Alligator mississippiensis: one gene and its partner. The protein of the gene in region 1 interacts with the protein of each later gene in a pairwise test. Links are inferred from orthologs where the notes say so. Each region holds a gene or a part of one and is shown in the gene's direction. Other genes may lie near its edges. The genes, in order: CREB3L1 and FXYD3.

Region 1 (15,422 bases):
CTCAGGAGTTGTGTGATCACCACCGGGTATTACAGCTGCCCCTGGGGCCTAGTACTGCCACAGTAACAATGTCTTTGTAAAGGCCCTGTCCTCTTCAATGACATGTTCAGAAAGTTCCTAATGCAGTTTAATGGTTCTCTTTGGAGATCTCTAACAAAAGTAGGGGAGACAATACCTAATATCTACTATTTTTAAGGTAAAAAAAAGCCAGGAAAGAAAAACTTTTCTTTATGAAGAAAGCAAAAAAAACCTAAAAATCCTTAATCCACTGTCAAGAAGCAAAGCAGATCACAAACTGCCTCTCTCCTTGTATAGGTCACCCTTGAGTGCTTATTTATCCATAAGTCATGCTGAGGTTTAACTTTCCAACCTACCAAAGAGCAGAAATTGGCAGTTCAATCATCTCTACAAGAGCACAGCAACTATCTTGGAGGAACATTTCTGGGATCTTGCAGCCAAACATGTCTTTTATAAAATATTGCCTTTCCATAATTCTTTATTCCCTCTCTTCTCTGGATTCATTCAGTCTCTGAAAAGCTGATTTAGTTCTGTCTGAGGACACTAAGTGCACCTCAGAAAGAGTAAATGCAGTGTAGACATCCGTTTGTGGCTTTTCCTTCATTCTTTGAGGAGCATCTGGGTGCTTACTGAAACCACAGCCTTCATAGATCTCAGCCACATGTTAAAATGCAATTAATATGCTATTCACTACCCCCTGCACTTCCTACAGATCTGAGCAAACATAGTTTGTGTGTACACATTTTCACAAACACACACTGAATACTGAGACTGTGCATTGTACTGCAAGCACACTGCATGAGTTCAGTGATACCAACTTCATAAACATATACTGACAGACCCGTGGCACACCATATGAGGTCAGTAATGCCATCCACAGCACCACTCTGCATATCTGCACATACAATGACACACAGGACATAACTTGTCTCCTGTTTGAAGTGCTGGAAGAGATTTATGAACACTGTAATTTCATAGCTCTTCCTCATTCCCCTAGGCCTAGCAGAAAGGTAAGCTATGGGTGAATTCTTTGATCTTTCCCCCCACAGTGGGGTGTGAACAGGTGTTCTCTGTAGTTGTCCAGAGGCCAGAATGGACAAGGAAGCAGGAAATAGAAAGCAGCTGAATCCAGCTGCAAGGAAAAACAGTTTGCATTCAAACCATCAGTTGGAAGAAAATCAAATGCTGGGCAGATTTCCTGGATGAGGCAGGGCTGAGGGACAAAAGGGAAAGAAAGGTCCAAATATCTTCAAATTCCTTCTCAAAAGATACTGCAAGGCCTTTCAGTATTTGCCCATCATCCATTCTGCCTTGTTCATGCTTTCTCAATTTCACAAACAAAACAGAACAAAAATGGCTGTATGAAAGTTTGATCCTCAAGTACTGCATATGGAGCATCCAATATGTGTATGAGATCATCTTTGGACTGCACAGCCACTTTTTCTAACCAGGGGGAAATTCAGCCCACGCTCATGCCTGAGCAGCCCTGTTCTCAGTGGGGTTGCATGGGGTAGAAAGGAGGACAACAGTTGGGTTGTTAGACTGTAAACTCCATGAGCCACCTACAGCGTGATTTGCCTTATGTGCTCTACACAGCAATGAGCAAACTTTCCTGGGTCAACAAATAATGAAGAATGCAAGTAATATTTAGAAAAGAAAGGGAGTGAGCTGGAGGGAGGACAATTAGCAAGAAATATCAATAATGCAGAGTACGAATGGAAGTGTTTCTTCTATAAACTCAGTGGAGGGGTGAAAAAGTGTGAGATAGAAGCTAGCAGTTTAGTTATTATGAACATCCAAGCTGGAGAAATAAACAGGTCAATGGTATCTTCAGCCATACTTGAAGCAAAACCTTCATGCTATGGTAGCAATCTCAAAAGCCAGTTTAAATGTTTCAAACCCCAAAGCAAACAGTTCTAACATCATGAATCATCCTAAAAATGGCCATCTGGGCTGAAAATGAAGGCAAACCTCCATCCAAACAGTCCCTCCTGTAACAAAGCAATGTATACACAGAAAACCAAAGAACACAGACATTTACAATTCACCCCACATTCCTAAAGAAACAGTCAGCCTCCTTGGGCCTATTAAACATCTTACCACAGCCTTGGGGAAACAACTTCAGTTTTTTAAGCTATAAAATGGAAAAGGTGTTTCCAAAACTGACTGGTTTCTTTATGCATATCCAATTCTCCACTGCCATGCATCTTGTCACCCTGTGCAGAGTGAGTACAAAGGTATAACGCATTACTATATTGAAATAATTTTACATCCCCTTTCCACGGGTACAAATGACTACACAAAAAGGAGAATGAGGCCCATTTGGTTTTTCAGCCACAGAGATAAGGGAAGATTAGGGTGCTTTTATTTTTAAAACCCTTTTGCTTATTCCAGTAAACAGCAATGCTTCTGATACTGTACAAATAGTTATGGAACCAATCATGAAAAGCTAGCAGAGATTCACTGGCATCAGTTTCGTGTTTGTTTAAACAGAATGTTCTTTGCTGTCCATCTTAGGGCCCTTGAACAAACAGATTTAAAGGAAAGGGACGTTTTATGCCTTCAGCACCTTCTAGGAATATAGCCAGCAAGTCAAGGAAGGTATAAGTTTGTCAAAACTCTCCTTCATTACAGCAATTTGAATGGAGATGTTCTACTCTAGGGAACTTAACCTGCTACCCAGGGGCACCGTCTCTTGTGGAAAAGTCCTGTGCAATGAAATTAGAACATCAAATCTTCTCAAAGCTCTGTAGGATGGTTCAATAAACTATAGAAAGAAGTTAATTCTCTGTTAAAATCTATAGGTTTTCAGAATCATTTTAATCAGTAACCTTCTGTTAGTCTAATCTCCGTTAACTGCATCATTTTCCATAAAGGGACACTTCTGGTATGTTATCTGATCTTACCCATGTGAGGCTGTGTTATCTCTATCCTTGTGCAGCTATGAGATATGGCAGAAAAATAGCATCTGATGTGTGTATGTGTGTTTTAAAGCAATCTGTTATCCTATTAAACAAAAGATTCAGCCTTCTTGGATGAGCTCTGAGGGAAAAGGTAAGTATAAAGGCTAAGCTTAAACCTAAGACTTAGGAGCCCTGGAAGATAACAATTATAACAGCAAGTGTTTCTGTTACCATGTAACAACCCTCTTTCCTTCCCCAGCAATCTCTTTGTCCCTCTATAATACAAGACTACCAGTTTGAACTCAGTTTGCAGAAACAGCTCCTCCATTAAGCGCTAAAGATCTGATCCCGCAGCCACTGAAGTCAGTGGCAACACTTACATTGAATTTAATAAGCGTAGGCCCAAGCCCAGCAGGAAAAGAATGTTGTGTCCCCCCTGTGCAAGTGCTGTAGAGGGTCTTGGTTATCCTGGCTCTCTTCCAGAATGTTTTATAATGGCATTGCAGCACAAGTACTAGAAAGGAAAAGTCAGTGTCTTCATCTGTCACCTGTGTATGCACAGCATCATTATGAAAAACCAACACATTTATGCTTAAACATGTTTTGGAAAAGATGTGTAAGACAAAGCAGTGTCCTTGAGCCAGAGATTTATTTTTTTCTGAGATATTTTTAACCTTTGGGATGGAGTCCATGTAAGTCCCTGTTTGCATGTGTCAAAGTACTTTTCCTTTACAGTACACACAAATGAATCTTGACCTTCTCTGATGACACTGCTCCTACTTAGTGCAAACAGTAGCTCTACCTCACACCCCTCCCATAGTTCACCTGCTGTGTGCTAAGAGTAATCAGAGCATAGCTCCTGAAAAGAGCTTTCCTTAGGGTAGTCTGGATGAGATGCTAAACCAGACACTCTTTATTTAAAGTAATTTAAAAAGTATTGGATGAATTTGAATGTGTAAAAAAGGCACTGGTATTGGGCTAATGAGGGCAGGCACTGTGTAAGTGTCCCCTGTTATAGCTCTACCAATTCACTACAGCCATCATCTGAAGCACTCACTGCTATTTCAGCCTCAGTACAGCCATCACAATCTAGTTCTAATGATGGACCTTCATCCCGAACAACCTTAACCTAGGGGCAAGAGGAAGGAAGGAAGGAAAAGAGACTTTTGACTTGGAAGCTGGGAGGAAAGGAGTCTATGCTCTCCTTCCTGAGGGAGATGGGGATGCCTTTTATCTGCCGTTCCCATTGTGGGAATTTCTATTTAGTTCCTTCTCTCAGCATCTTAAAGGAAGATATTCACTGCTCCTAGGCTGACAAAATTAGGGCTCTGCCCAGAAATGTTAGAATCCTATGATAAGCATGTTTTCTCCGCCTAAATGCAGGCAGAGTGAACACAGTGGGAACAAGCTGTGTATCTCACCAAGATTCCTGGCCTTTTGGAAATAGCATGAGCAAGGCTCTAACACCACCAAAATGGGACTCTCTCATCACTCACCAGTACCCTTTAGTAATATTGGTTTGTGTTTCTCCTGCTGTAGACAGTTGAGTCTGAGACACTTCTAGTAGCAGGGACTATATGTTAGGGTAGTGTAAGTTTTGCTTTGTTTTGGGTCCCAGTGTTTCACCACACTGGAAACTGTATTTCTACAGGTGTTGCAAACTTCCTCCTCTTTCCTCTCCTTAAAATGCAGGTCCCTAATTCCATCCATCCTTGTTGAATGAGAGGCTGAGTCATCTCTGAAATTACAACCCCACACAGTGCCAACTGAGTCTATTTCCCTACTCTCATATACACAACAGCTACTTTACACCTCAGTGTGCATAAGCAAAGAATAAATTAATGTAAAGTAATGAGAATCAGATCTGTGTGTGCAGAGAGTGGCATCCTTTACATTGGGGATGTGGGCTTGCAGCTGGTCTGATAAGTGCCAAGCAGATTGATCAGAGGGTGATTACTAGTTGTAGTCTTAGGCTTAGCTCCCATTCCACCTATTATGCATCTAAACAGTACTTACACATATATGTCAAAGTGCAATCCTATTCCACCCTGCTCTGGTTCTTGAAAGACTTTTAATGCAGAAGATGGGCTCCTCTTTGCTACTCTTTGTGACTTAGTCTTAAGACTAAGGGGGTGGTGTGTTACAAAAGTAGATGTACTGGCTTTTCTGGGACTCAAGCAGGACAGAACAGGCTCGCTTAGATGCCTCAGTGTTGCTTAGATTCCTAACAGGTGGAATAAGAGCTGAACTATTGTCCTGAGGCCTAAATAGGGTGTGAAGAAGAGTACACATGTGAATCTTTAGTTGTGTGTGGAATCCCCCAGGTCTGAATCAAACAGCCTCCCAAGTATCACCATAATACATTTCCTCATCTGATCAGTTCATCTCTTTAGATAACTCTTGCCATTAGAAGCCACCAGCCAGGTTTCCTTTGGGAGACAACCTTATCTTCATGCTTCATTTCCCTATCACAGGAATCCAGGGAGAGCCCTGTGGGAGTCAAGACTCCTTAGGTCACTGTGCTGAGCTATGAGGGCAGATAGATCATCATGAGAGGATTATTATAAGTGGTTTTTCTGAGAGTTCACCAGAGCAAGGATCAGAGAGGGGAGGGATCCATAATCCTATTTTTGAAGCTATATAATCTTCCTGGAGCTCTTAAATGATGCCTGAGTCTTTAATTACAGAGCAGCCAGATGGACTGCTGCCACCTGCGCTGACTCTTAGGAGGTAGCTGACAGTATCATCTTCATGCAGTATCATCTGCATGCTTTCCATTTCATGTAAAAACTGAACTCTCTAAAGATTAATCTTTTTTTTTTGGCTCTTCTTGCTATGGTTGCCTTAGTCCTTACACAGAGAGTCACTGTAGCTCTGTCGACAGCTAGTGGTGTCAGCGCTGGACCTGCCAAAGGAATGGTTCACTTTTCAGTTTGTCAATCTGAAATCATAATAGGGCATCATCTAATTTCAGTCTTTCTCCCAGAGAATCAGCTTCCTATGTTGTAGAGACTGCAGGGATCTGTGCTGGGAATTCAGTAGGTGACACTCTTGCTGAGCTTGCCTTCTACCCACAGCTGGGACAGCTGTGGGGGTTGTTGTGCTGCAGGGATCGGTGACCTAGACAAGTTGGAGGACTGGGCCAAAAGGAATCTCATGAGATTCAACAAGGACAAGTGCAAAGTCTTGCACTTAGGACAGAACAATCCCATGCACCAGTACAGGCTGGGGGCAACTGGCTGGGCAGCAGCTCTGCAGAAAAGGACCTGGGGGTCCTGAACAGTAAGCTAAATATAAGCTAGCAGTGTGCCCTTGTTGCCATGAAGGCTAATGGCATACTGGGCTGCATTGGTAGGAGTGTTGCTAGTAGGTCCAGGAAAGTGATTTCCCTCTATTTAGCACAGGTGAAACCACATCTGGAATACTGGGTTCAGTTTTGGGTCCCCCACTACAGAAAGGATGTGGACACATTGGAGAGAGTCCAGCAGAGGTCAACAAAAATAGCAAGGAGGCTGGTGGACATTACTTCTGAGGAGAGGCTGAGGGAACTGGGCTTGTTTAGTCTAGAGAAGAGGAGCCTGAGGAGGATTTAATAGCAGCCTTCAACTACCTGAAGGGGGGTTCGAAAGAAGATGGAGCTAGATGACAGAACAAGGAGCAATGGTCTCAAGTTGTAGCAAGGGAAGTTTAGGTTAGATATTAGGAAGAATTTTCTCACTAGCAGGGTAGTAAAACACTGGAAAAGGTTACACAGCGGTGGTAGATGCTCCATCCTTGGAGGTTTTTAGGACCTGGCTAGACAAAGCTTTAACTGGGATGATCTAGTTGAGGATGGTTCTGCTTTGAGCAGGGGGTTGCACTAGATGACCTCCTGAGATCCCTTCCAATCCTAATTTTCTATAATTCTGTGATTCAGCATCACCAACCTATCTCAGACTCAAAGGGAGCCCAGGGCCCTCTCCTGGTGTGGAAGGTGCTGCCTCTCCTAGGAGAGACACAATATCACCTCTCCAGGGGCAGGTAGGCACTGCCATTTCCATGACCATGACTGAAAGGCTCCTCAGGTTGTTAACCCCAGCACCTTTGCACCTGGCCTCCCTAAAGCTTCCTCGGAAATATCAGCATGGTACAGGGGACTTTGGCGTCACCTCTCCTAGCCTGTGGAAAGGCTTTCACATGGCTGCTGGCTGGTTCAGCAGCAGTGAAGCCATTCATGGGCCAACTTGGAGACGGGGGGAGACAACCCTGAGCAGGGCAGGGTGCAGGGGGAGGGATGAGTGTGTGACCAGTGAGTGTGTGTGTGTGTGACCTGCTTGCTGCGGAGATAGGTCGGAGCCCCCCCAGGGGGAAGGAAAGAGGCGGCCCCTGAGGCGACCTGCCGCCCCGAGCCGGGGCCGGGATTGCATCAGCGGGGCAGGGCGGGGAGGCACCGCCCCGGGGCCGGGAGCGGGGCGTGCCGCGGGCCGGGAGCCGCGGCGAGCGGCGGTGACAGCGGGCGCGGAGCCGGTGCCTGCCCTGCCCCATGGAGCAGCGCCGAGGCAGCCGGGCCCCGCTCCGCCCGCAGCTCCGGGCCCCGCTGCGGCGGGCGGCGCGGCTCTGAGCCCCGGGCGCTGCTGCTCTGCCCTGTCCTGCCCTGCCCCGCGCCCGGCACCATGGACGGGCTCCTGGAGCCCTTCCCCGCCGAGCGCCTCTTCCCCGGCGCCGGCTCCGGCTTCCTGGACCTGGGCGACCTCAACGAGGCGGATTTCCTCGGCAGTGTGGTAAGGGAGGGCCGGCCGGGGGAGGGAGCTGCGCTGCCCTCGGGGCTGCTTCGGCTGCTGGCGGCCCACGCTCCCGGCGCCGCGGGACCGGGCGGAGGAGCGGGACGGGAAGGGGCCGGAGGCGGCCCGGGGCACCACTGCGCGCGCGCACACACACACACACACACACACACACACACTCTCTCTCTCTCTCTCTCTCTCTCTCCCTGTTCACACATTCCCTGGTGTCTTTCTCTCTCTCACACACACACACACACACACACACACACACACACACACACACACACTCCCTGTTCACACAAATTCCCTGGTGTCTCTCTCTCTCTCTCACACACACACACACACACACACACACTCCCTGGTGTCTCACTCACACACACACACACACTCCCTGTTCACACACATTCCCTGGTGTCTCTCTGTCTCTCACACACACACACACACACACACTCCCTGGTGACACACACACACACTCCCTACTCACACACATTCCTTGGTGTCTCACACACACACACACACACACACACACACACACACACTCCCTGTTCACACACATTCCCTGGTGTCTCTCTCTCTCACACACACACACACACACACACACTCCCTGGTGACACACACACACTCCCTACTCACACACATTCCTTGGTGTCACACACACACACACACACACACTCCCTGTTCACACACATTCTTTGGTGTCTCTCTCACACACACTTCCTGGTGTCACACACGCACACACACACTCACTCACTCCCTGTTCACACACATTCCCTGGTGTCATACTCACACATGCACTCCCTGGTCACATAATGCCCTGGTCTCACACACACACCCACACACACATGCACACTCACTGTTCACACACTTGCAGGTCACGCACACACACACACACTGGTCATACACAGACAGATCACACACACACACACACACACTCTCCCTGGTGACACAGGCTCCCAGGTCACATATACTCACTGATCACACAGGTCACACACACACTCTGTGGTCTCACACACACACAGAGGTCACACACCCAGGTTGCCCACACTCACTGGTCACATACACACAGGAGGGGTCTCACACCCACACACCTGTCAGTGGATCACCCTCACACTCACAGGAGGACCTTCAAGCAGATCCCACACATTAGGCAGGGCCTCCGAGTGGATCTACACAGCCTCCAGGAGATCTCACACACTCTCAGTGGACCTCCTGTAGTGCATGCCAGGCACAATTTTCTGTGGAGCACGCATGTGCACACCCACAGATCCTGAAGACCTCCAGCAGATGCTATACAAAGGTGCTGGCATGCATAGGCACTCACATGCAGGGAGTGAGGAGACCCCCTGGATCAGCAGCCCCTTGGCAGGACTTATTGCATTTTTTAAACCAGATCTCCTAACAAGGTGCCAAGTCTCAGGGAGATTCCACAACCTGTTGTGGCAATTTGCTTCTTGGCTCAACTCTTGACTCTCACAGCACTGGCGAGACTGTAGGGGGCAGGAGGCCCTTCTTGATGAAACCTCTGCTTTCAGTTGCTTATAGCTTGTTTGTAAAGTGATGTTTTTGGAGTGGCCTTCATGCACAGGGGATTTACTTTAGAGAAGGGAGTGGATGAATAGTGAACTGGGAAGAATATCTGTTCTGTTAATATCAAATAATCCCAGGGCATCACTGTATTGTGTATGCTTACCTTAAAGAAGATTGTCCAGAGAGTTTGTGCATTCACATGGACAGTAGGGCTACTTTACAACTTCAGGCAAGGATGTTTGCTGTTCTGAATGAGGAACGTGAGCTTCACCTTGTGCGAGGATGGTTGGTTTTAAAATAACAGTGTGAATATTGCTGCCCTTCTGCTGACAGTGACAGGCTTCAGGAACCTTTCAGACTGCCATTCCTATGGAGCAGAAATCAGTGATGCAGGGTCTGGGTAACTTCTAAATATAAGTTTTTAAATTTATACCAGCCCTGGAACAGAGAATGTCATAAACTATGTGCAGGTAATTCCCCCTTTTCAGTCATTTCAGCACCAATGTCCCATGTGCAGGGTGCAGTACAGTCTCAAGAACTGACTCCAGAGACTCACACAGGCAGCAAAGTGATCTCCTTGTGTTCACACAGATCCCAGAACCTCATACTAGACATGAGGTCTTATCAAGAGTGAACTGTTTCTCACCAAGGCCTAGTATACATACTCACGTGACACTTGGTAGATGTTTACACACACATACAGGGTACTTCTAGTGGATCACACACATAAACACAGGCCCTCCAGTGTACCACGCAGAACATGGACAACATGGACATTTTGCTTAAAAGTGTAACTATTTTCCATAAATAGTTTTACTGGTAAAAACCCTACTGTGGTGTACAGTTACACTAGTGTATAAGCATCTCATACCAGCATGGCTTATTCCCTTTCCTATATAAGGATAATCTGTGCTAATAGAAGATTCTTCATACCATATAACTTTGACCACGTGAGTCATACTATTTTAATGGTACAGGTATGGTTAGCTCCACTGGTACAGGAGAAGTGGTACAACTTTTAGGTGTAGACAAACCCTAAAAAGGGAACTTGGAAGACTATGTAACAGCACCACCTGGTGACAGCTACCTGACTGTATCTTTAAAATGTGTCTTCTTTGTGCAGTATGATGTTTTCCTGTCTGATTTAAATTGCATTTCTATTCTGAATGCAATTATGAAAGCAGTGATGGGTTTCAACTCCTATTATTTCTCATTGACTCTGGATCTTTTGAGCAAACTTCATAAATAAAGTAAACTCAATTCTAACTGCCAGCACAAAAACTCCCCCTGGCATCTGAGCGTAAACTGAGCTTTTTCTTCTTGTGCATGATCAACAATAAAGAACTGGCCATCTTAATGTAGCTAGCAAATTAATTGAGGCTATGTGCACCAGAATATATCCCAGTGCTTTTTATTGGTTTTATATACAGAACAAGAGGAAAAAGGAATACATTTGTATGTCAATTAGTAAAACCAGTAAGCCTTACTGTCTTTGTGAGAAGGAGCTCTGTTAGGAAGATCTTATTTTTCCATAGTTGCTCTTTGAAGGGCTGCACTGAATTTCAAAGTGCTGTTTGTATGGTAATTCTCAGAGCTACCAATGACCTCAGTTCAGGAAGGCCTCAGGTTTGTCATGGAGACCTTCTGGGCATTGTGCAGCAAATGTGTTTCCTAGAGCTGGTCAGGTATTTTTGATGAAATGTTCTTGCTTCATAAACTGTTGATTCCTTGAAGCTAAGAGTTTTCACAAAAACATATCAGTTCAACAGAATTTTTGTCAGGAAGCTTTCTCAGGTCTGGGATGGAACTTTTGGTCAAAATCAGAGCAAGGGAGAGTTTGAGGTGGAGACAGAAAGAGGGAGCCCATTTTCTTTACAGCCTAGAGCAGGGTGCCAAGGAGTGCCACACAATACTAGCACTGTTAGGTGTGCAAACACCAACACATTTTACAAGATAAACCCAGAGATTTCAAGTAGGAATCCCCAGTGTCATGAATATTTTGACTTGTGCTCTTTCTGAGTTCTTTCCACAGTCAAAAATGAGTGAAAGCTAAGATATGGCATTTTTCTAGGGGTGCTGTGAGTTTAATGAGGGGTGACTTGAGCCCACAAAGTTGTGAACCACTAGCCTAGAGAGACTCATTCTTAAGTCTGGTAAGTTATAGCACTTACCTGAGATGCAGGGAAAAATTGTATCTCCTGCATTGACTTAGACAGAACAAGGACTGTGAAGCTGGGTCTCCCACGCCTTGAATAAGTGCCAAACTGTTGGGCAACTGGTTATTCTGGGGGTTGTGGTCTGTCTTCCTCTCCCTTTCCATTTCCTTATGAAAATTTGTGAAAGCTCTGGATTTTTTTTCATTCAATGCCGGATCAAAACAGATTTTGAAACCTCATAATTTTTATGGCTTCTAACCATGTCTGATTTTTCCCTGTAAAGAGGTTGTGCTAAATAAAAGGCCTTTCTTTAAATGGTAACTTTTCTTTATTAATTCTCTTGTCCCTTAAGCAGTTGTTACTAACACCTGTAATCTAAGGTGGAAACAAACTGAAATTGTGGCAACACATGAATAGGTGCATCCAGGAATGTATAAATAAATGTGACTGAAGAGGGTCTGGCTGCTTGTAAGAGAATACTTGAACAATACTGGTTTAAGTGTGTCTAATACATAGAGCAGACAACTTCAGAGGTGGAACTTGCCAAGTTCTGTGGCACAGGCTGTGGCAGTAAACAGTTCAGGGGAAGCAACTGGAGGTTTGCTGCTGTGGGGAAAGGTATCACCTCCTTTTTTGCTGCTAAACTGTGTGTAGATCAGCCATTGGATACTAATTTTTGGCAGCAAAAAAAAAAAAAAAAAAAAAAAAAAAGTGGCAAGAGGCTTAACCCTCTCCGATACCTCTCCTCCATATCACCCTGTTTCTGCTGGCTGCTGTCCCTGCACTGGCTGCTACCAGCACCCAGGTGCAACCAACTCTATCATTGCTTCTCTGCCCTCCTGACTGCCAGATGTGGAGCCACTGCATGGAAGGTGCAGGAGGAGGGAGATGGGAGACAGGGGGGTGAGGTGCCCCCTGGATTCATTCTGGTGCCCCCCACTTGGGCAGCACCTGGGGATTGTGCCTTGCTCACCTACCCATTATTAGGCAACTGCGAAGCTTGATGAAGTGCCATGTCTACCTAGCATGTGGATAAATGATCTCAAGCAGAAAATGATGTCTATGGAAAATGCTCCTTTTGTTCGACATGCTGTGGCTAACAAGCCTCAGATATAGTTTCTACTGACCATAAAATCAGATTCTACTTTAGCTCAGTATGCAGCCTGCTGCTTTTAAACTTCAAGGACTTTGTTAAGCTTTTTACTAGAAAGGGCTCCTCATAAATTAGACTAATCCTTAAAGCAATGTTTACTTATTGATTTTTACCTGGCTGTATTCTGCATTGTCCAACCAAGGCTTTGGCAGTTTTAATTATTTTTGACAGAGTGCATTCATTCACTCTCTGTTTTTATTACAGTGACAGTCAGAGAGTTCTTTCATGCTCTCTCAGCCCTTCTTATCAGTGTCTCATAACTCTCAGAAATGGTTATATTTTGAGGTGGATTCACCAATATGCTTCAGTAGCTTTATGACACTCTTGTGTCATGAGGCAGCCAGAAAGAACAACTGAAACAGGAAATAGGATGCTCATGCTTCTTTTTGAGCCAATACAAACTTTTTTTCTTTTTTTGGACACCATGAAGTATATCTTTGAAGATTGTTTCAGGGGGGTGAACATTCAGTTAAAGCAGATAAAGCAGGTAGGGTGCTTTTTGAAACCCATGCTTTCTTTAACATTGAAAAAGAAACTAAATGCAAAACCAGCTATTTGCCAGTTGAGATTTTCTTTGACAACAGCTGGATATTGAGGGTTTGAGATTTTGACAGTAACCTTAACTCGGCTCCATGAGCTTAAGCGCTACACTGCAGTCTTTAATTGTATGAACAAATCAAGTACAACAATGTGGCAGCTGGTATTGTTTGATAAAGAGTATGCTTTATTGGAATGGGAAAAGAGCCATGTATATTTTTTTTACTGTTCCTCAAGTAGTTTTGTACAAGTCAGTTCCATTTTTTGCTGTTTTATGTTCATTCTATGATGTTAACATACTGTGTGCTACTGTATTTTATTATGTAATCTGGTAATGATGGCCACCAACTCCTCCCACCCCCCAAATCTGAGCTATATAGCAAATTGTATGCATTAAGCTGAGCTGCCCTAAAAACAGTCCCAAAACGACCTGTGAAGAGGTTTTCTTCAGAGAAGATGAATGTAGCTTAGTTACTTGTGGATAAAATCACCTCCATGTAGACAGCCAGCAGAAGGCCTATGTACCATTTACATTTATTAAGCTAGTGACAGGCCAGCCTCTTTGGCAGGCATGCCACAGATTAGTTCCACACTGTCTGTGAGTGCTACTCCCGTCCCCTTTTCCTGCCCAGTCAGTGGCTCTGCTTTCTGTTCCCTGTCCTGTGTTCTTGTACAATCTGCTTCTCTGCTTTCTGCTCCCTGCTCTGTGCTTCCTTCCTGATTTGATGCTCTGCTTTCTGCTCCCTGTCCCATCTGCTGCTGTGTTGCCTGCTCCCTCCCTGGTCTGCCACATGCTCCACACAGAGGCTGCCCATGCCACCTGTGGCACATGTGAAATTTGCCACATTTGAAAGACATAAATAGTGCATAGGCCCTGTGTTTGTGCTTGGCACTGGGACAAGTATCACCCTGCACTGCCCAAGCTTCCCCAGCACACAGATAGAGTTAAAAGCTCAGCCAGAAATTCTCATCAATTTCTCACCCCTTACTACTGACTGGAAGGGGTGCCAGCTGTTATGATAAGTACACAGCTTGCTCTGGGGATGATGCCAGTCCTGCACTCTGGCACATATCCAAAGTGTTATAATTCACTACTATCCTACTGGTAAAGTTCATTTCATTTCATGCTTTTGGCTAGTTAATTTAGCATGGTATAGCAAGAGACATGGGCAAGCCAATAGAAAATCTAGACCTGAGCTAGTTCACAAGAGTTCTATGGCCTCACTGGATCAGACACAAAGAGACATTCACTGAGGAGGATTAATTTTAATACAAAAGTTGCCAGGTTTTCCTAGTTTCATGTTTTCCTTTTTCTCACTAACTTTGCTTCTCCAGCTCAATTTTCCTGTGTGCTTTATTGGTCTTGTAATATTGATCTTACACTAAGAGAGCTGAGAAGTATCAGTGGAAACAGCTCCCAGTTAAATGCAGGGTTACTTCCAGAGTCTATATCATTGCCATATAGCCTTCCCCCACCCCTTCCAGGGGGATTAACTGTATCCTCAACTCAATATGAAAGAAATTTAGAATCCTCTGTCAGAAACAATGGGGAAAACATTGTTTCAGAAACTTTATCCTCTCCTACTAGACAACTTCTGGCAGAGGACTGGTCAGCTTAATCTGAGCCAACATGCCCAAGCTCTAGGGAGATCACTATAATCCTGGTGGCAGGAAAAAGATAATTGATAAACTAACAATTAACTACTGCAGCTCGGAGGCACAAGTTCAGAGAAAGCATTGAATCATGTTTGCAGAGACAGGCATTATAAAAAAGAACAAATAACTGAGAGAATCCATCATGGCGTTGGGGTGGGAACAGTAACAACAGGAAGGACTTTTGTTAAATATTTGCAAAGTAAACATACCAAACACTCAGAAGAGGGATGCGTGCATGCACCATGTGCTGAAGCAACAGGTTACACAGTCTAATCTAGGAGGCATGTTAGCAACAGCAACTGTGAGATGCTGGGGAAGGCATCTGTGTGACTATACTTCAGAATGCTCTTTGACCATTTCTTTCAGAAAATTTCCCTCCCCTTGGTATGTCAGTGTTACCAGTTCTGGTGGAAGCAGAAGGGCCCTGCTACAAGAACTCAGACCTGAGGATTCCACTGTTACAGATCAAGTTATGGATAGCTTCCAAATTTTTAGACATTGAACTCCATCCAGTGGAGTATTGCGCATGAGATTCAATCCATTTACCCTTACTGGAAACTCACCTTCTGGAAAACATGCATGGATAATTTTTGTCCCAACCCCTCCTTCAGTATATGAAATCCTGGCCCTTAAATAGAATGATGATCCATCATCAGTGTACACCATAGGCTAGAAAAGAGAGCCTGAAGAAAAGGAGGAAGTCAGTCACATG
Region 2 (16,329 bases), on another chromosome or scaffold:
AGCCCTGTTTTCCCATGATTCCTTGCTTCTACATCAAACACAGAGCAGTTTGAGACCATTGGTGCAGCGAATGAGTGAAAACAGAGTTCCTTTAGCATGTCTAACCCCTGCCCCCCCATCTCTTCCAGAGCTGCTCTGCCCCCCGCACAGCCACTACAAGCTTTGTGGCCCATCCTGCCCAGCCTCCTGTGCCAGCCCGGTGGAGCCCCAGCCCTGCCCCACGCCATGTGCTGAAGGCTGCCAGTGTGATGCAGGGCTGGTGCTGAGTGGCACCACGTGTGTGAGCCCAGAGCAATGTGGCTGCACCCACAATGGCCGCTACTATCTACCTGGAGAGCAGTTCTGGGAAGGCGAGCGGTGCCAGCAGCGGTGCCAGTGCCAGGGCTCGTCCCACATGGTTCAGTGCTCCAATGCCACCTGTGCCTCGGGGGAGATCTGCAGCATGCATGAGGGATTTCTGGGCTGTCACGTGCCCCCTCCTGGCATCTGCTGGGCAGCCGGGCTGCCCCACTACTACACCTTTGACGGGCGGCTCTACGATCTACATGGCACTTGCAGTTACATCTTTGCCGAGGCCTGTGGGGTCTCCCCAGCAGCGCCCTACTTCCGCGTGGACGTGAGGCACAAGCACCAGCCCCAGGACCCTGTGGCCGGGCTATCGGAGGTGTCCGTCTTGGTGAATGGAGTCCACATCCATCTATGGAGAGGACAGCCTGGCACCGTGGAGGTAACTCTATGGGGTGAACACTCCCAGGGGAAGTCCCTGAGCTTTTGTCTCCGGAGAGCCAGAAACATCCTGTCCTCTCATCATTGGGTCATTGGCATGATATGAGTGGGAAAATACCATATTTATTCATCTACCACACGGTTTTCCCCCCAAAACCAGCCCTCCAAAATTGAGCAGGCATGTCCTAAACAGGAAAAACCGAATCTCTTTGCTGGAATGGAAGCATGGAGACACTGGGCTACAGTGGCTGCAGAATTGGCAGTAGCTGCCCATTTTGTGGTGGCTTTAAAAGGGTTCATGCTAATCTTTTTTGGCCTGAAACAGGCCGCGTAGGGCCAGCCAGTTGCTGGATGTGGTTGGCCGCACCTGTGGGAGGATCTTTTATTTATTTGTAGTCTGCCTTCCGAAAAACAAGATGAAAATCCAGCGTTCAGGGATATTATGAGCAAAAAACCAGAAAAATGAGTTTCCCATTCAATGTAAGATCTCTCCAACCTCGATACCAATGTCCCTCGGGCAGCGATTCTGAACTGGGTGTTGCTCCTCCCTGGGGGATGCCGTGAGATCCTTTGAAGGGTACCACAGGCACTTAGCACTATCATTTGTGCAGACTCCTACCCGTGATTCACCAGATCAACCCAGAGTTTTCCAGTAGCAGTCCAGGGAGTCTGAACCCTCCTGGGGCCTTTTAACAGGAGAATCCCACTAGGATTTTTCCATAGGCAAGAAAGCAGTGAAAGTGAAGAGCTGGGATTTTCAGAAGGGGCCCTGGAGTCTAACAAGGGGAGGCCTGGCATCAAAAATAGCTGAGAAGCACTGCTCTCTAGGTCCACCACCTTGGAGACAGATTTGTGTACTGAGCTGCATTGCCCATGCCCATCTGACTCTCTCCCAGAGCTACAGCATAATTAAGTCTTCTCTAGGCTTTGGGAATCTCCCTTCTCCCGCATTCAGGGCCTGGGATTAGGCTCCAACTCTCCATGAAGGCGGTGTGGGCCTGGCATGGGCTTCAGGAGGGGGCGGGCATTGTGTGGAGAGGAGTTGGAGTCATTGCCAACACCTCCTGAAGTCAGCAGCGGAGGGGCCGGGGAGGCTCTGCCAGGCTGAGAACATTGATTCACTCAGCAGGAAACATTGAGAGAACTTGGGTTTAGAAAACTTGAGATTAATTGGGGGAAAAAAAAAAACTAGGGTAAAGGAGCTGCATCATCTGGACCTTGGTGCTGGCCAGTCAGGGACCCCTCAATGCTTGCTGCATCCAGCGCCTGTGGTGCCCACTCTGGAGCAGGCACCACATATAACATGGGTTCTGGAGCAGGCATCGCGGTCCCAGACTGGCTGGAGTGAACCGCAGGCACTGGATCTGGCATGTCCAATCCGCACTGTTCATCCAGCCCACAGACCAGTCCTGGTCATCCCTACTCTGTGGCTTGGCTAAAATATCCAACAGCTTCCAAAAGAAGGTAGGAGAGAGGCCGGGATTCCTTAGGTTGAGACCTTGTATTGGACTAGTGTCATCACCTGGGAAAGAGTTAATGACCCGTGTCATCGCCTGGGACCGAGCTAGTGACTGGAATTGTAGCCTGAGACAGAGCTAGCAACCAGCGGCATCACCCAGGACACAGCTAGCAACTGGCATCATAGCCCAGGACAGAGCTAGGAACCAGCACTGTTGCCCAGGGCAGAGCTAGCAACCAGAGGCATCACCCGGGACAGAGCTGACGCCCAGCGCTGTTGTCCGGGGCAGAGCTAGTGACCAGTGTCATAGCCCAAGACAGGGCTAGCAACTGCTGTCATAGCCTGGGACAGAGCTAGCAACCAGTGTCATAGCCTGGGACAGAGCTAGCAACTGGCAGCTTCTCCTGGGACAGAGCTAGTGACCAGCATTGAGGGTGGGGACAGAACTAGCAACTGGTGTTGTAGCCACATACAGAGCTAGCGAGCAGAGTCATAGCTGAGGACAGAGCTAGCGACTGGTGTCATCACTTGGGACAGAGCTAGCAACTGGCAGCATCGCCCAGGACAGAGCTAGTGACCAGCAGAGTCGTAGTCGGGGATAGCAGGGGGTGAGAGAGATTCTCAGGGGCAGCAGACACCCAAATAGCAGACACACAATTACATGTGCTTGTTGAGTGTCTGCCTCCCACTCAAGATTTTCCCACACCCCCTCCCTTCAGCTGGTGTTCACCATGCCGGGCCCGGCTTGCAGGGATCAGAGACCTGATGAAGCACATCTCTCATTCAAAATCTTGGCTAACTTAATCTCAGCTCCCCAGTTGGTGCCATAAAAGTGGTCACCCTACCTCTGATGGTCCCATCCAGCCCCGCTTCCCTACAACTCTCCGCCCTGGCCCGGTTATGACTCCCTGGTGCTGTCCTCTCTCCCCCGCAGGTGGATGGTGTGGCCCAGCCCTTGCCCCTGCACCTGCCAGCCGCAGGTGTCAAGGTCCATGCAAATGGGCTGCTTGTGGCACTGAGCACGGGTTTTGGACTGCAGCTCCGCTCCGACCTAGCCCATGGCCTGGAGCTCATCCTGCCCCCAGCCTTCCGCAGCCACACCTGCGGGCTCTGCGGGAACTTCAACGGGACCCCTGATGACGACGACCTGCTGCCGGATGACTCCCAGGCACCCGATGCCTCCAGCTTGGCTGCGGGCTGGAAGGTGGCATCAGTGCCTGGCTGCACTGATGGCTGCCTGGAGGTGTGCCCGGGCTGTGCCCAGGATGCTAGGCTGGTGGCAGCAAAGTCCCAGTGCTGGGTGCTCCAGGACCCCGATGGGCCCTTCTCCATGTGCCATGCCCAGCTGGACCCCAGCCCCTACATGTTGGCCTGTGTCTTCGATGTGTGCGTGTCTGGCGGGGACACGCGTGTGCTGTGCCCTTCCATTCAGACCTATGCCTCTGCCTGCCAGCGGGCAAATGCCAGCATCTCCCCATGGAGAAACAACTCCTTCTGTGGTAAGTAGACCCCTCATTACCTCTGAGCTCCTTCCACCAGAGATAATCCCTGGTTTGTCACCCTCTCCATCCCTCCCAGTCCAATTCCCACCAGTATTGCACCCAGGTCTGGTCCCCACACCTCCCAAAGGCTAGACCCTCAATACTGGAGGAAGAACAAAACCCAAGAGAGAGGAACAAAACCCAGCTCAGAGCCAGCTCACTCTCCCTTCTGGCCTCTGCTGTCTGCTGACATGTGACCCAGGAGATGGGGCAAGACAGATCTAAGGTCTGATTCAGTCAGTGGCAATTTTTAGAGTAGTTTTCCCCTAAGCACTCTTAAAAAATACCTAACAGAGGTGCAGAGCCCTTTGGATGGCTAATGTGGGTATTCACATGCTTTTGTTTCATCACCGTCATCTTTCGTGGACCCCTTAGACATAGTCTGCAGACCCTCCAGGGGGTCCACAGACCACAGGTTGGAAACCACGGTTCTGAAAGAAAGTCTGTGGGGATTTATTACCAACTGTGTCCCATGATACAAGAATGAGGGGTCACAGTGCAAGGCAGGGCACGACTCCTGCATTGTGTGGTGGCAGAGAGCAAAGGCCAGAAAGGAGAGGGAGCTGAGTTTTGTTCCTCTCTGGGCTCATTTACACAAGATGCATTTAAGGCACATTAGCCTAAATTTAAGGTGCATTAGGGCATGCATCTACATGCGCGTGCCGTTAATGCGCTTTAAAAATGGTGTAGGTACACAGGTATCAAATATAGGTGCAATTAGTTAAGATGCGATTAGTTACGGCACATTAATGCTGTGTGTGCCGACTGACTTGGGACTAACTTGAGTCCCATGTTGGTCCACACACAGAGTTAATGCATGTGTAGACGCATGCCTAAGCCTGCTTAATGCACATTAAGCTAATGTGCATTACATTTAAGTGTGCTTATTTGCACATGTAGACACACTCTTTCTTGTAGCCCCCAGCATTGAGGGTCTAGGTCTCTAAGAAGTCCTGATTCAGGGACCAGGACCCTTGCTGCCATGCTCAATAACAAGCAGGAATAGTGTCCTTGTCCCCGGATAAGCAGATCCTCTGTTTGTAGCCTAAGGGTCCTCTTTTTTCTTGGTACCCACATGGGAGATGCCCCCATCCCAGCACTTGGACTCAGTCTCTTTGCTTCTTCCTGTCTTTCCTTTCCCCGCATCCTGAATTCACCCCCATTCCTTCCACTGGTGCTGTTTTGGGGGCTCTAGATCCTACCTCTGGGTCCTGGCTTATCTCAGTCCCATTGAGTGGTCACCCGTGAGTAGAACGCTGGTGGTCCGGTTGTCTAATCTGAGCTCAGGATGGTGCTGGGGTTCTTGACTGGCTTTGTCCTCCCCACAGCCCCCAGGTGTCCAGCCCACAGCCACTACCAGCCCTGTGCAGACCCCTGCCATGCAGCCTGCCCCCATGCCACCTTGTGCCCATCACCATGCATGGAGAGCTGTGTATGCGATGCTGGGTTTCGGCGTCACGGCACCAGCTGCGTTCCTACGGAGGAGATCCCAGAGCCCACCCATGGGCCCCAAGTCAGTGTCATGGCATGGCCTACCATGCGTGTCATCGACCGGCCGGGGCGGACCTAGAACCTGCAGATGATGTGGAACACAGCACACGTGGATAAAAGGAAACTGAAAGCTTTGCTACACTGCTTGGGATGAAAGGCTGGACGATTCGGTTTCAGGGGGAAACAGAAACAACTGGACCTCTACTGGATGGTGCATGACTTGGCTAGAGGAGAGGCATTGGCACAGCACAGTCCTCATCCCCAGTCTGGGCTGCAGCCAGCACCCAGGGCTTCCAGGGGAGGCCTCCAAACCCCCTGACATGGAGCAGCAAGGGTGGAAGCAATTCCCTCCTGGCTTCAGGAAAATCAGAAGGTTCCCGTTTGATTCTTGCTCTGTGCCTCACATGTTGGTGCCTTGTCCAGGGGAGTTGTGCACTCTCCAACACTGGAGGGGGTTCAAGGAGAGGCTGGACATACACTGGTTGGGGATGATCTGGGTGGAGCTAGGCCTATGCCTAAAGGGAGTTGTGCATTCTCCATCATCTCCTTGAACTTGAGGGTTCAAGGAGAGGCTGGACATGCACTGAGATCATCTAGGCATTGTGATGCCTGTGCTCTGCTATGGGGATGTTCCAGGCTTCTGGGCTTTGCTTGTTGCCCCCTTAGCCCCATTTTCTGCTCCATGTGTCAGGTGGTTTTTAAGCCTCCCCCAGAGACTCTGGGTGCTGGCTGCAGCTCGGGCTGGGGATGGGGACTGGGCTGTGTGAGAATGCTCCTGCTGGGACCAACTCTGCAGGCTCCTGACTAGAGGGTCTTGCCCTCTGCTCAGGCTCAGACCGATGCCATATCTGGGGTCAGGAAGGGATTTATCCCCTGGTCAGATTGGTACAGACTTGGGGGGGGGGGGGGGGTTGCCTTCCTCTGTAGCAGGGGCATGGCCTCTACCTGGGGTCCCTGGAGTGTCTTTTAACAACCTTCTACAGCAGCAGGACTTTGGTGGCTGCGGTCCCCCTGCTTTCCCTGGGGCAGGTTCGGATGCAATAAATATCTGGGGTCGTGTCAGGGTTGGCAGTAGTTTTACAAAGAGGTTTGATGCTGGATGTGTCTGGGGTGATTTGGACAGAGCTGAGCCTCAGGCAGAGGTTGGACTGGATGTGACCTCTGGAGGTCCCTTCCAGCCATACATATAGGACTCTGTGCCTCTATATGACCTCTGGAGGTCCCCTTCACCCTGACATCACTATGACCCCATAATGATGACTATGACCTCCAGAGGCCCCTTTCACTCTGACTTCGCTATGATTCCCTATTACAAAATAATCACAAGCTGCTCTTTCTTTTGTTCTCTCCTTCCAATTAAAAGTACTCATGAAACAGCATCTGGCCTTCTTGAGCCCTGGGCGGTGCTTCCAGTGGACACTATTTTCCTCACCATGTGGATGTTCCCCCAGGTTAATCTTTCCACACCTGAGTGGGTGTGTTTTAGCTAGAGTTAAATCCAGTCCAGAGGGCCAGGGGCTGGAGAGGAGGAGCTACATTAAGAGACAGCAGAATTGCACCAGAAGAGCAGCCTGACTAGCAGAAGGTTGGGGCCATTCAAAAGGAGAGAGAGTCCTTTAACAGCTGGGCAGTGAAGACATCAGGAGGAATTGTGGGGGCAATATTAAGCCATGATAGATTCTTGCCTGGATAGAAATGCTACTGCCTCTCCCAGGCAGTTGGTTTTGGAGTCCAGTAGGGTAGGTATCAAAGGGGGGGGGGGCAACTGGGACCCAGGGGCAGGTTCTGGGGGTCCCTGAAGCTGAGAGCATTTCTCCCTCTTTTCTCACCCCCGACACACAGGCTGTAACAGCCGGCAGCTTTTGTGCCTGGTGGGGCGGGGCAAGGGGGTAAGAGCCCCGATTTGGAGGTCCCTGGGGCAGGAGCAGAAGTTGCAATGGGACATGAGTTCAAACCCCACCATAGACCCCAGGCAGTGCTTTGCCCCATAATGCAAAGGAAGGTGATGTGGCACTCCCACCTACTTTGCGGCCCTGCCAGAGCCACCTCCCTCCCCCAACTTCTTGCCCAGCCTTGGGTGCTGGGTTTGAGTCCCGGCATTGGCCTGCCCTGGCCCACTGAGGCAACAAAGACTCCAACCCCCGTGGCAACCACAGCCCGTGGAAACTGACCTGGAGGATGTCTCCTGGGCCAGGACCTGGAGCCACGATCCTGACAGGGTTGGCTGCACATCTGGAGCTCACCTGGGCAGGTACCAGGAGCCGTTGGCTGGGTTCGGGGGTTACAGAGGAGCTGCTCTGAAAGCAGCGAGTGGCTGAAGGTGCTGGGTGGAGATAGCTGGGAGTCCAGGGTGCGTGTCTCCCTGCTTGGAGTGAGGGGCATTGGCAGAGCTGGGGGCACAGGGACAAGTGGCTGCAGGTTGGGAGTGAGGGGTACCAGAGCTCCCTCAAGGGCCCTGGGGGAAGCCCTGAGCTCTGCTGGCTCCAGCTGTGACACCATCACAGGGTACGAGGGGGCCTGGGAGCCTGGATGCCTGGGTTCTCGCCCAGCTGTGCAGGGGGGGAAGGGGAGGGGCCCATTTGCTCCACCCCAGAGCCAGCTGCATGTTCCTCCTCCCACACATGCTGCCTCCAACCCTCCCCTCCCCCCCAGGGAACCCAGGCATCCAGGCTCCCAGCCCCACCCGTGCCCTGACCCAGGCCCCATCCAGGGGGCAGCCAGCGGGGACAGGGAGGAGGGAGGCAGAACCCAGGCGTCAGGGCAGCCCCCATCCCCCTCCCACGGCCTTTGGCTCCTGCAGCCTCAGCTGGATCCAAGCCTCAAAGCCGCCTTGTTCCCTGGCCAGCACCGGACAATGGGCCTCTGTGCGGCCGGTGCCCCCCACTCCCAACCCCCAGCTCTGCCGGTGCCCCTTACTCCCGACCTACAACCCCTCTACTCCCTGGTGCCCCTCACTCCTGACCCGCAGCCCCCCAGCCCTTCTAGTGCCCCTCACTCGACCCACAACCCCCTGCCTGCCCAGTGCCCCTCACTCCCAACCCACAGCCCCCCCACTTATACCCATGGTGTCCCTCACTCCTGACCCGCAGCTGTTTTCTGGCCCTGGCGGGGGGGCATTGAGCTGGCACTAGCTCCACATTCCTGCCTGGGCTCCTTTGTGCCTCCCTGGGCGCTGGCACCAACCCCCCAACCCCCGCTGCAGCTCCCAGCCCTGGGCATTGGCGGGCGGGGGAGGGGGGGGCACAGACTGACTGGCGGCAGCCTCTAAACAGCTGCCCGGGCCAAGATGTAGCCAGCTACAAAGGCCCTGCTCCGGGCCAGGCTCCTGCAAAGCCGGAGGGAACCCATGATGTCTGGGCTCCCAGCCCCTCTGTTCCCACCCCACTCCCACACCCCAGACAACCCAGGCATCTGGGCTCCCAGTGCCCCCTGCCCATGCTGTCACTGGGGCCTACTGGGAGCCCAGTGACTGCCTCTTCTCACCTTATCGCTGGCGGTGCCAGGCTGCAGCCAGGCCCCGATCCCAGCCCAAGATGGTGCCAGGCAGGGATGGGGAGAGCAGAGAACCCAGGCACGCAGGCTCCCAGCCCCCACACCTGCTCTCACCCCTAGGCCCCACTCCCCTCCCAGAGCTGGAGGGAACCCAGGCGTCTGGCCCAGCCCCGCTGCCCGGCCCCGCCCTCACCTGCCCAGGTAGCTTCAGCCTCGTCTCGGCTCCAGGTGCAGCTCCCTTGTCTCTGGGGTGAGTTTGGGGGTGGGGGGGCAGAAGCATGAAACCCCCCCTCCCCTGAACCCTCTCCTCCAGGCTGTGGGACCCAGGGGATGGGGGCCCGGACACCTGGGTTCTCTTCACAGCCAAGCCAGGCCCTGCCGGGGTGCTCGGCCACCATGTGCCTCAGTTTCCCCATGTGTGGAGCAGGGGGACCAGGCCTGGGCCTGGATGGAGGGGGGCAAGTACCATCCCCTGTGCTTGACCCTGCTGCCCCCCTGCACAGCTGGAGAGAACCCAGGCATCTGGGCTCCTGGACCCCCCTGCTCTCACCCCCCAGGCCCCCCTGCCCCCACTCTCCCAGAGAACCCCGGTTCGGGCCCCAGCCCCCCCCAGAGAACCCAGGTGTCCGGGCTCCCAGCCCCCAACCCCTGCTCTGACCCTCCCCAGACCCAACTCTCCTCCCAGAGCTGGAGAGAACCCAGGTGTCCGGGCTCCCAGCCTCGCCTGCCCTGATCCCCCAGCTCCTACTCCTCTCCCAAAGAACCCAGATGTCCAGCCGGCCGGCCAGCCTCCCAGAGCAGGAGAGAACCCAGGGCCCGGCTGCCTCACCCCACAGCAGCCGGGAGCCGCCCCAGCCAGGAATCCAGCCCCGGGCTCCCGCCAGCCAGTGACTCAGCCATGCCCCCCCCCCAGGGTGGAGGGGTAAAACAGGCCCCAGACACCTGGGTTCCCTGGCTGAACTAGGCCCTGAGAAGGAACCCGGGCATCCGGGCTCCCAGCCCCCCTGCTCTCAACCCAGCCCCTCGTGCTACCCCAGAGAACCCAGGCGCCCAGGCCCCCAGCCCCCACTCCCCTCCTGGGAGCTCCCAGACACCTGGGTCCCCTTGAGGGGAGGAACCCGGGCATTCGGGCCCCCAGCTCCCCCTGCTCTTGCTCCCAGCCCCTCATGCTACCCCAGAGAACCCAGGCATCCGGGCCGTCCACCCCCCAGCTCTCCCCCCCAAGCCCCCACTCCCCTCCTGGGAGTGCCCAGATGCCTGGGTCCCCTCGAGGTAGGGAACCCAGGCGTCTGGGCAGTGACGGTGCGTCTCCCCCAGGCCCCAAGATGCTGCCCGGGCTCCAGGTGCTGCTGGCAGGTGAGTGCCCCTCCCAGTCCCCCCCTCCCCCAGGATCAGGCCCACCTGGCCCCTGGGGGCAGCTCACAACCCTTCCCCCCCACAGGGCTCTGCCTTCTTGCCCCCCTGGTCTCCGCCCAGGCAGGTGAGTTAACCCTTCGCACCCCAGCCCTGCCTCCCCCAAGGGAAAGGGCCAGGTTGAACTCCAATGGGGGTGGGAAGGGGCAGCGGGGGAGGGAGGGGGAGAAGAAGCTGGGGGGGGCATTGGATTAGAAGGGGCTGAGCAACCCAGGTGTCCGGGCTCCCAGAACCCCCTGCTCTCAGCCCCCAGCCCTCACTGCCCTCCTGGAGAACCCAGGCATCCAGGGTCCTGGCCCCCACCCCCTCTCGTCCCCCAGCCCCCCCATCTACAGTGGGGTTGGAAGACGCGTCCAGGCAGTGTAACCCCTGACCCTCTCTCTCTTCCCCCAACCCCAGATGGGAATGACCCCTTCCACTACGGTGAGTATGAGGGGTGACAGGGCGGGGCTAGGGCAGAGGGGGAGGAGCTAATGGGGATGGGGCTGAGACAGAAGGAGAGGCCTAAGGGCTGGGATTAGGGCAGAGGGGGAGGAGCTAATGGGGGAGAGGGAGAGCTGGGGCAGAGAGGATGGGGCCTAAGGGCTGGGGACATGGCTAAAATAGAGAGGGAGGGGCTATTGGGACTGGGGGCTGGGCTGGGGCAGAGGGGGTGGGGCTAATGGGGCAGAGATGGGGGCTGGGGCAAAGGGGGCAGGGCCTAGGACCTGGGGGTGGTGCTTAGGTTAGTGGGGGTGGGGCCAGGATGGAGGGGGGTGGCTTCCAGGGTGAGTTTGGGCCTGTGGGCAGGGTATGGGAGGCAAGAGGCGGGGCTGGGGGCAGCAGTGGGCAGGGCCAGCTGTGACCCTGCCCCCTGCCCCACCCCCAGACTGGCACCGTCTGCGCATGGGAGGCCTGGTGGTGGCGGCCGTGCTCTGCGTCATGGGTATCGTGGTGCTGCTGAGTGAGTGGGCAAGCCCAGGCCAGTGGGCGGGGCTGGCTGGGGTTCCATCGGGCAGGGCCGGGATAAGGGGCGGGGCCTGCTGCATTCCCAGGAGTTCCCGGGGGCAGGGTGGGCAGGGCTGGGGACAGGGCTTTCCTCTGTCTGACCCACCCCTTTGCCTCCTAGGTGGGAAGTGCAAGTGCCGCCGTGCCAGGTAGGAGCAGGGGGTGTGGCTTGGGGGGAGGGTGGGGCATGTCCTGGATGCTGACCTTCCCCTGTTTTCTTTCCCCCCCCTTGCAGCCGCCGCCCCCCAGAGACCTCCAAGCTTCTGGTGCCAGGTGAGGCCCCGCCCCCTGCCCCACCCCGCAGGGGTCAAGGGGGAGGTCAGGGGTGGCTGCCCCCCTCACCCTTTCCCCTCTCCTTCTCTCCCGCTGCAGGAGCTGCCAGTGCATGATGCCCCTGGAGACCTCCTTGTCCCGCCCCCCACGTAATAAACGGCTGCCCTGAGGTCAAGCGTGCCGGGATGCCTGGTTCTGTGGGACAGGAGGGTGGACTGCCGGGGAGAGGAGGAGGAGCCAGGAGCCCAGCCACCTGGGCTGTGTGGGGGGCCAGTGGGTGAGAGCCGGGGGCGCCGGGAGCCCAGGTGCACATTGGTTGCGCCATACATGTAATGTCTGCCAGGACCATCCCAGTGCTTTGCATTGGGCATATTTACATAGCGCGGGGGGGGGGCAGCTAGTGACATCACGCAAGAATTGGTGCAACGAATAGTGAAAAAATTGGGAGAAAAAAGGCAAAATTGGGCAAAAAAAAAAAATCCCAAGATAAGCCAGGAGCCCCCAAAATGTCTGTGAGAAGCAGCAGGAAAATTTCCCTGTGTCAAGCTCCCCATTTTGGGCTGAAATTCACAAAATTGGGGAAAAAATCCTAAATGTTATTGTGGGAAGGCTGGAAATTGAAGGGAGGAGGGGCAGAGAGAGGAGATGAGGACTCTGCTGGGGGGAAATGGAAAAAAAATGGGGGGGAGGCCATTGTTGATCAAATCAATGAAGCCAGATATGCATATTTTTCGCCAAAAAATAAGTAACCCCTCCACCCCACATTTTTGTTCTAAATAGCCTTTTATTTCACTCAATTATGTGTGGTTTTTTAACCAAAAATTGCATGGTTTTGGTTAAAAGATCAGGCCATAGACCAAAAATGTGTGTTTTTTGGCCCCAAATGCACATTTAATGTTAAAAAAAATAAGGCCAAAACAGCACAATTTTGGATAAAAGGACAAAAAAAAATCACATTATATCTTTGGTCAAAAACAAGGCCAAAACCTGCACATTTGTGATCAAAAAGTAAAGCCAAAAAATGAACATTTGTGGTCTTAATATCCTTATTTTTAGATCAAAATGAGTGTTTTTGGCCAAAAAATGCAGTTTTATTTAAAAAAAAAAAAAGCCAAAATGGTACAATTTTGGTAATAAGGCCAGAAAAGCATTTTTGGGGTCAAAAATAAGGACAAAAAAATTGATTTTTAGTAAAAGATGAGTAAGGTAAAAATGCACATTTGTGATAAAAAAATAGGGGCAAAAATGCAAACTTTTAGTAAAAAAGGCCAAAAATACACATTTTGATTCAAAACAATTATGTGGGGGTTTTTGAGGGGGGCAAGAAAAGAGCAAGATTGGTTAAAATACCCTCAGGAAAAGAGCTCATAGCCAGATCCCTGGAAATAAAATGGAAGAAGGAAATTCGGTTGAAAAGAGCCAAATTCAGTTAAAACAGAAAAGGCCAAAGAGCAAACCCAAGTAGAAAATGAACATTTTTGGTTTAATTGAAATACAGCCAGTTGAAGCGTTACAAAAAAAAAGCTAAGAGAAAATGGGTTTAAATCCAGGAATTTCCCCCAAAAGGGTTGAAAATGCCCTAAAATTATTTGGGGGCCGGGGGGGCTGATGAAGCCTCCTCTTTTGCCACCCCCTCCCGCCCCATGACAGGGTGTGGTATTACCCCACCTGCTGCCCTCTGGAGCCCAGGGCAGGTCCTTCTTGCCACTCTCCTGCCCCCGAGTGGCTGTGGCAGGGTATTACAGCCCCTCTCTTGCCCCCTGGTGGCTGTGGTGGGTATTTTGCAGCTGCCGACCTGCCCCCTGATGGTCGTGGTGGGTATTACAGCCCCCGACCTGCCCCCTGATGGCCGTGGCGGGTACTACGTCCCCCAACCTGCCTCCTCCCAGCCATGGCAGGGTACTATGGCCCCCAACCTGCTCCCTGGTACTACAGCCCCTGATCTGCCCCCCAGTGGCTGTGGTGGGGTACTACATCCCCTGACCTGCCTGCTGGTGACCGTGAGGAGTATTACAGCCCCTGACCTGCCCCCCAGTGGCTGTGGCAGGTCCCGCTCCGGGCTTAGGCGCTGAGGTCCACGAGGACGTGGCGGTAAATCTGGGAGTTGCCTGTGAAGCTGGAGATGAGGACGAAGTGATGGGGGCCGACGGGCACGGGTGCCAGGGCACGGGGTGCAGGTGGCGCCAGCTCCTGGCCAGGCACGAACTGTCCAGCACTCGGGTCGAAGCGGTATAGGCGGCTGTAGGCCACATCGCTGCCCAGCAGGGCATAGAGGCGCCCGCCCAGCACCAGTGGCTGGAAGAGTAGCGACCCTCGTGCCGGAACGGCCTGGACCTCACGAAACAGCGACCCCTCCCAGCGCAGCACCTGGCAGGCACACAGCGTGCATGGTGCTGGGGGCGGGGTTAGCGATAAGAAACATGGGCTGGGGGCAAGGGGTGGGACTATGGGAAATGGGGGGTTGGGGTGAGACTATGGATAGGGGGCAGGGGTCTGGTGGGGCTATGAATGGGCTGGGGTTTGGAGGGTCTGGGGGTGGGGCTGTGGGAAACAAATGGGGGTCTGGGGATGGGGTTATGAACATGGACAGGATCTGGGGCCGCAGCTACGGATAAGAGCAAGGTCTGGGGTGGGGCTACAGGTAGGTCCAAAGGCTTGGGTAGAGTCAGGGTTTGGGTGTCTGGAGGCGGGGCTAGTGGTAGGGGTGGGGCCTGGGTGTCTGAGGGCGGGCTATGGGCAGGGGAAGGGGTCTGGAGGTGGGGCTACAGGCAGGGCCATGGTCTGGGGGGTTGGGGGTGGGGCTATAACTAGGGGTGGGGGGTTGCTGTCTGAGGGCGCGGCTACAGATAGGGGTAGGTTGGACTAGGGGTGGGGTCTGGGAAGTAGAGGTCCAGGCTAGAGGAAGAGGGAGGGGGGTCTACGAGTCTTGGGGGTGGGGCTACAACTAGGGGCAGAGCCTGGGATTCCCAAGGGGGCGGGTCTATGACTAGGAGCAGAGTCTGGGAGCCCAGGGGAGGCTAGTCTATGGCCAGGGCCAGGATCTGAGGGGCCTGGGGGGCACAACTACCACTAGGGGGCATGGCCTAGGAGGCCTAGGGGGCAGGGCTACAGCTGGGGTGTGGCTTGGGTACCCTAGGGAGGCGGGGCTACAACTGGAGAGGTGGCTTGGGACTACAAGTGGCGAGCGGGCGGGCTCCAGGAGCCCAAAGGGTGGAGCTCCCCCTAGGGGGGCATGGCCTGGGAGCCCCCAGGGGCGGAGCTCCCCCTGGGGAGGCGGGGCCTCTCACCTTGGCATCGCCCATGTAGCGGCTGAGGCAGACATAGAGCTGCCCGGGGCTGCCGGGGGGCTGGAAGTGGCGCACGGCATAGACGTCCTCAGGCGCCGGGATGTCAGTGAGGCGGCGCAGCTGAGCGCCAGCACCTGTCCCAGCCCAGCGATACACGACTGGGCGCCGCGCCCCGGCTGCCACAATCAGGCCCGGCTGCCCACCAAGCTCCAGCGCCTCCACATCTGTGTCCCGGTGCCAAGCGGGCAGGGCTTGGTGGGGGTAGAAGCCCCCGCCCCGGCCCCGGCTCCGATCCCAGCGGTACACGGTGCTGGCCCCGGCCTTGGAGCTGTCAGCCACGGCCACGAACCAGGCCGGCCCCACACGAAAGGCCTCCACATCGTGGGGCCGCCGCAGATCCCCACCCAGAGCCTGCAGCCGCACGAAGCGGGCCCCGGGGGGTGCCCCCGGCCCTGCTCCCTCCTCCTCGGGCGCCGCTTCTTCCTCTGCTGGCTCTGCCCCCTCCAGCTTCCAGACGTGGGAGCCACCGCGCAGCTGTGCCACCACTACCACCAGGCGGCGCCCCAGCACCAGCGGCTTGCACGCCACCGGCGATGTGGCTGTGGGGGGAGAACGGGCATCAGAAGAGTCCCTGGAGCTTGGAGGATTATAGGGGGAAGAAGGGGGTCTCTCGGGAGCTGATGGATGTGGTGGGGTCCCTAGAGGGGTTCTAAGGGGGGCCACATGGCTTTGGAGGGGGTCCCTGAGGGTGGTGGGAGGGGCCGAGGTCCCTGGGCGGGGGTCTCAGCATTGGTGGGGGCAAGGGGCTAGGGCTTCACTGGTGATGGTGGTGTAGGTGGGGTTGCTGGGGGCTCGCTGTTGATGGCGGCATGAGGGGATGTGGGGGGTCCCAGAGGGGGCATTCACCAGTGATGGCGGCGTGGGTGGCAGCTGTTGCAGGGGTCCAGGAGGGGCACTCACCACTGGTGGCACGGCAGAGGGCTGGGAGGGGGGTGCTCACCATTGATGGCAGTGTGACGGGGGGCTCCAAGGGGGTTCTCATCATTGATAGTGGCATGGGGGGTGTCAGGGGTGGTGGGCGCTCACTATTGCTGGTGGTGCGGGAGCTCTGGGCTCAGCCCGTTCACCAGCACCCAATGGGACGGAGCCCAGCTGTGGGGGACAGGGTACTCAGCGGAGGTGGTGATCACCATTGACAGTGGCGTGGGGGCTCTGAGTGGGGTGCTCACTATGGCTGGTGGCAAGGGGGTGGGGGGGGGCCCCCACCATTGCTGGCGGAGTGGGTGGGGTCCGGGGGAGGGCACTCAGCATTGATGGCAGCATGCAGGGGGGGATCCAGGAGGTGCTCACTGTTGCTGGTGGCATGGGGGGGGGCTGGGAGGTCTGGGGTGGCACTCACCATTGATGGTGGCATAGGTGCGGAAGGCACCAGCCAGCTGGTCCCAGTGCAGGAGGCCACAGCGCCCGGCGAAGGGCTGTGCCACGGCCACCAGCGTCTCGCCGCGGAACCGCACCGGCTCCACCGACAGCGCCTGGAATGGCAATGCCTGGAACGGCACCAGCTCTGTGCCAGCGCCGGAAGGGAGGTCAGCTCGCCTGCTAGGGGCCTGCCTGCCACCACCCCTCGCCCCAGGAGGAACCCCAGACATCTGTGTGGGGC

What was found.
Region 2: the proteins of CREB3L1 (region 1) and FXYD3 interact in binary tests that used the Homo sapiens proteins (3 or more experiments, as listed by UniProt). The two-hybrid records come from large-scale screens. The link is inferred for Alligator mississippiensis from reciprocal best matches to the Homo sapiens genes CREB3L1 and FXYD3.

Annotation. Positions count from the first base shown.
Region 1 is NC_081825.1:226,889,085-226,904,506, forward strand, and holds the start of CREB3L1 (cyclic AMP-responsive element-binding protein 3-like protein 1), read left to right. Parts: upstream 1-7,385; 5' UTR 7,386-7,573; coding exon 7,574-7,681; intron 7,682-15,422.
Region 2 is NC_081838.1:28,360,587-28,376,915, forward strand, and holds FXYD3 (FXYD domain-containing ion transport regulator 3), read left to right. Parts: upstream 1-8,881; 5' UTR 8,882-8,959; intron 8,960-10,026; 5' UTR 10,027-10,034; coding exon 10,035-10,065; intron 10,066-10,150; coding exon 10,151-10,189; intron 10,190-10,521; coding exon 10,522-10,545; intron 10,546-10,990; coding exon 10,991-11,065; intron 11,066-11,230; coding exon 11,231-11,258; intron 11,259-11,344; coding exon 11,345-11,382; intron 11,383-11,481; coding exon 11,482-11,498; 3' UTR 11,499-11,557; downstream 11,558-16,329. Other genes in the region: IgGFc-binding protein-like, read left to right, coding at 129-727, 3,120-3,692; leucine-rich repeat LGI family member 4, read right to left, coding at 13,444-13,749, 14,670-15,268, 16,069-16,233. UniProt on the Homo sapiens protein: Associates with and regulates the activity of the sodium/potassium-transporting ATPase (NKA) which transports Na(+) out of the cell and K(+) into the cell.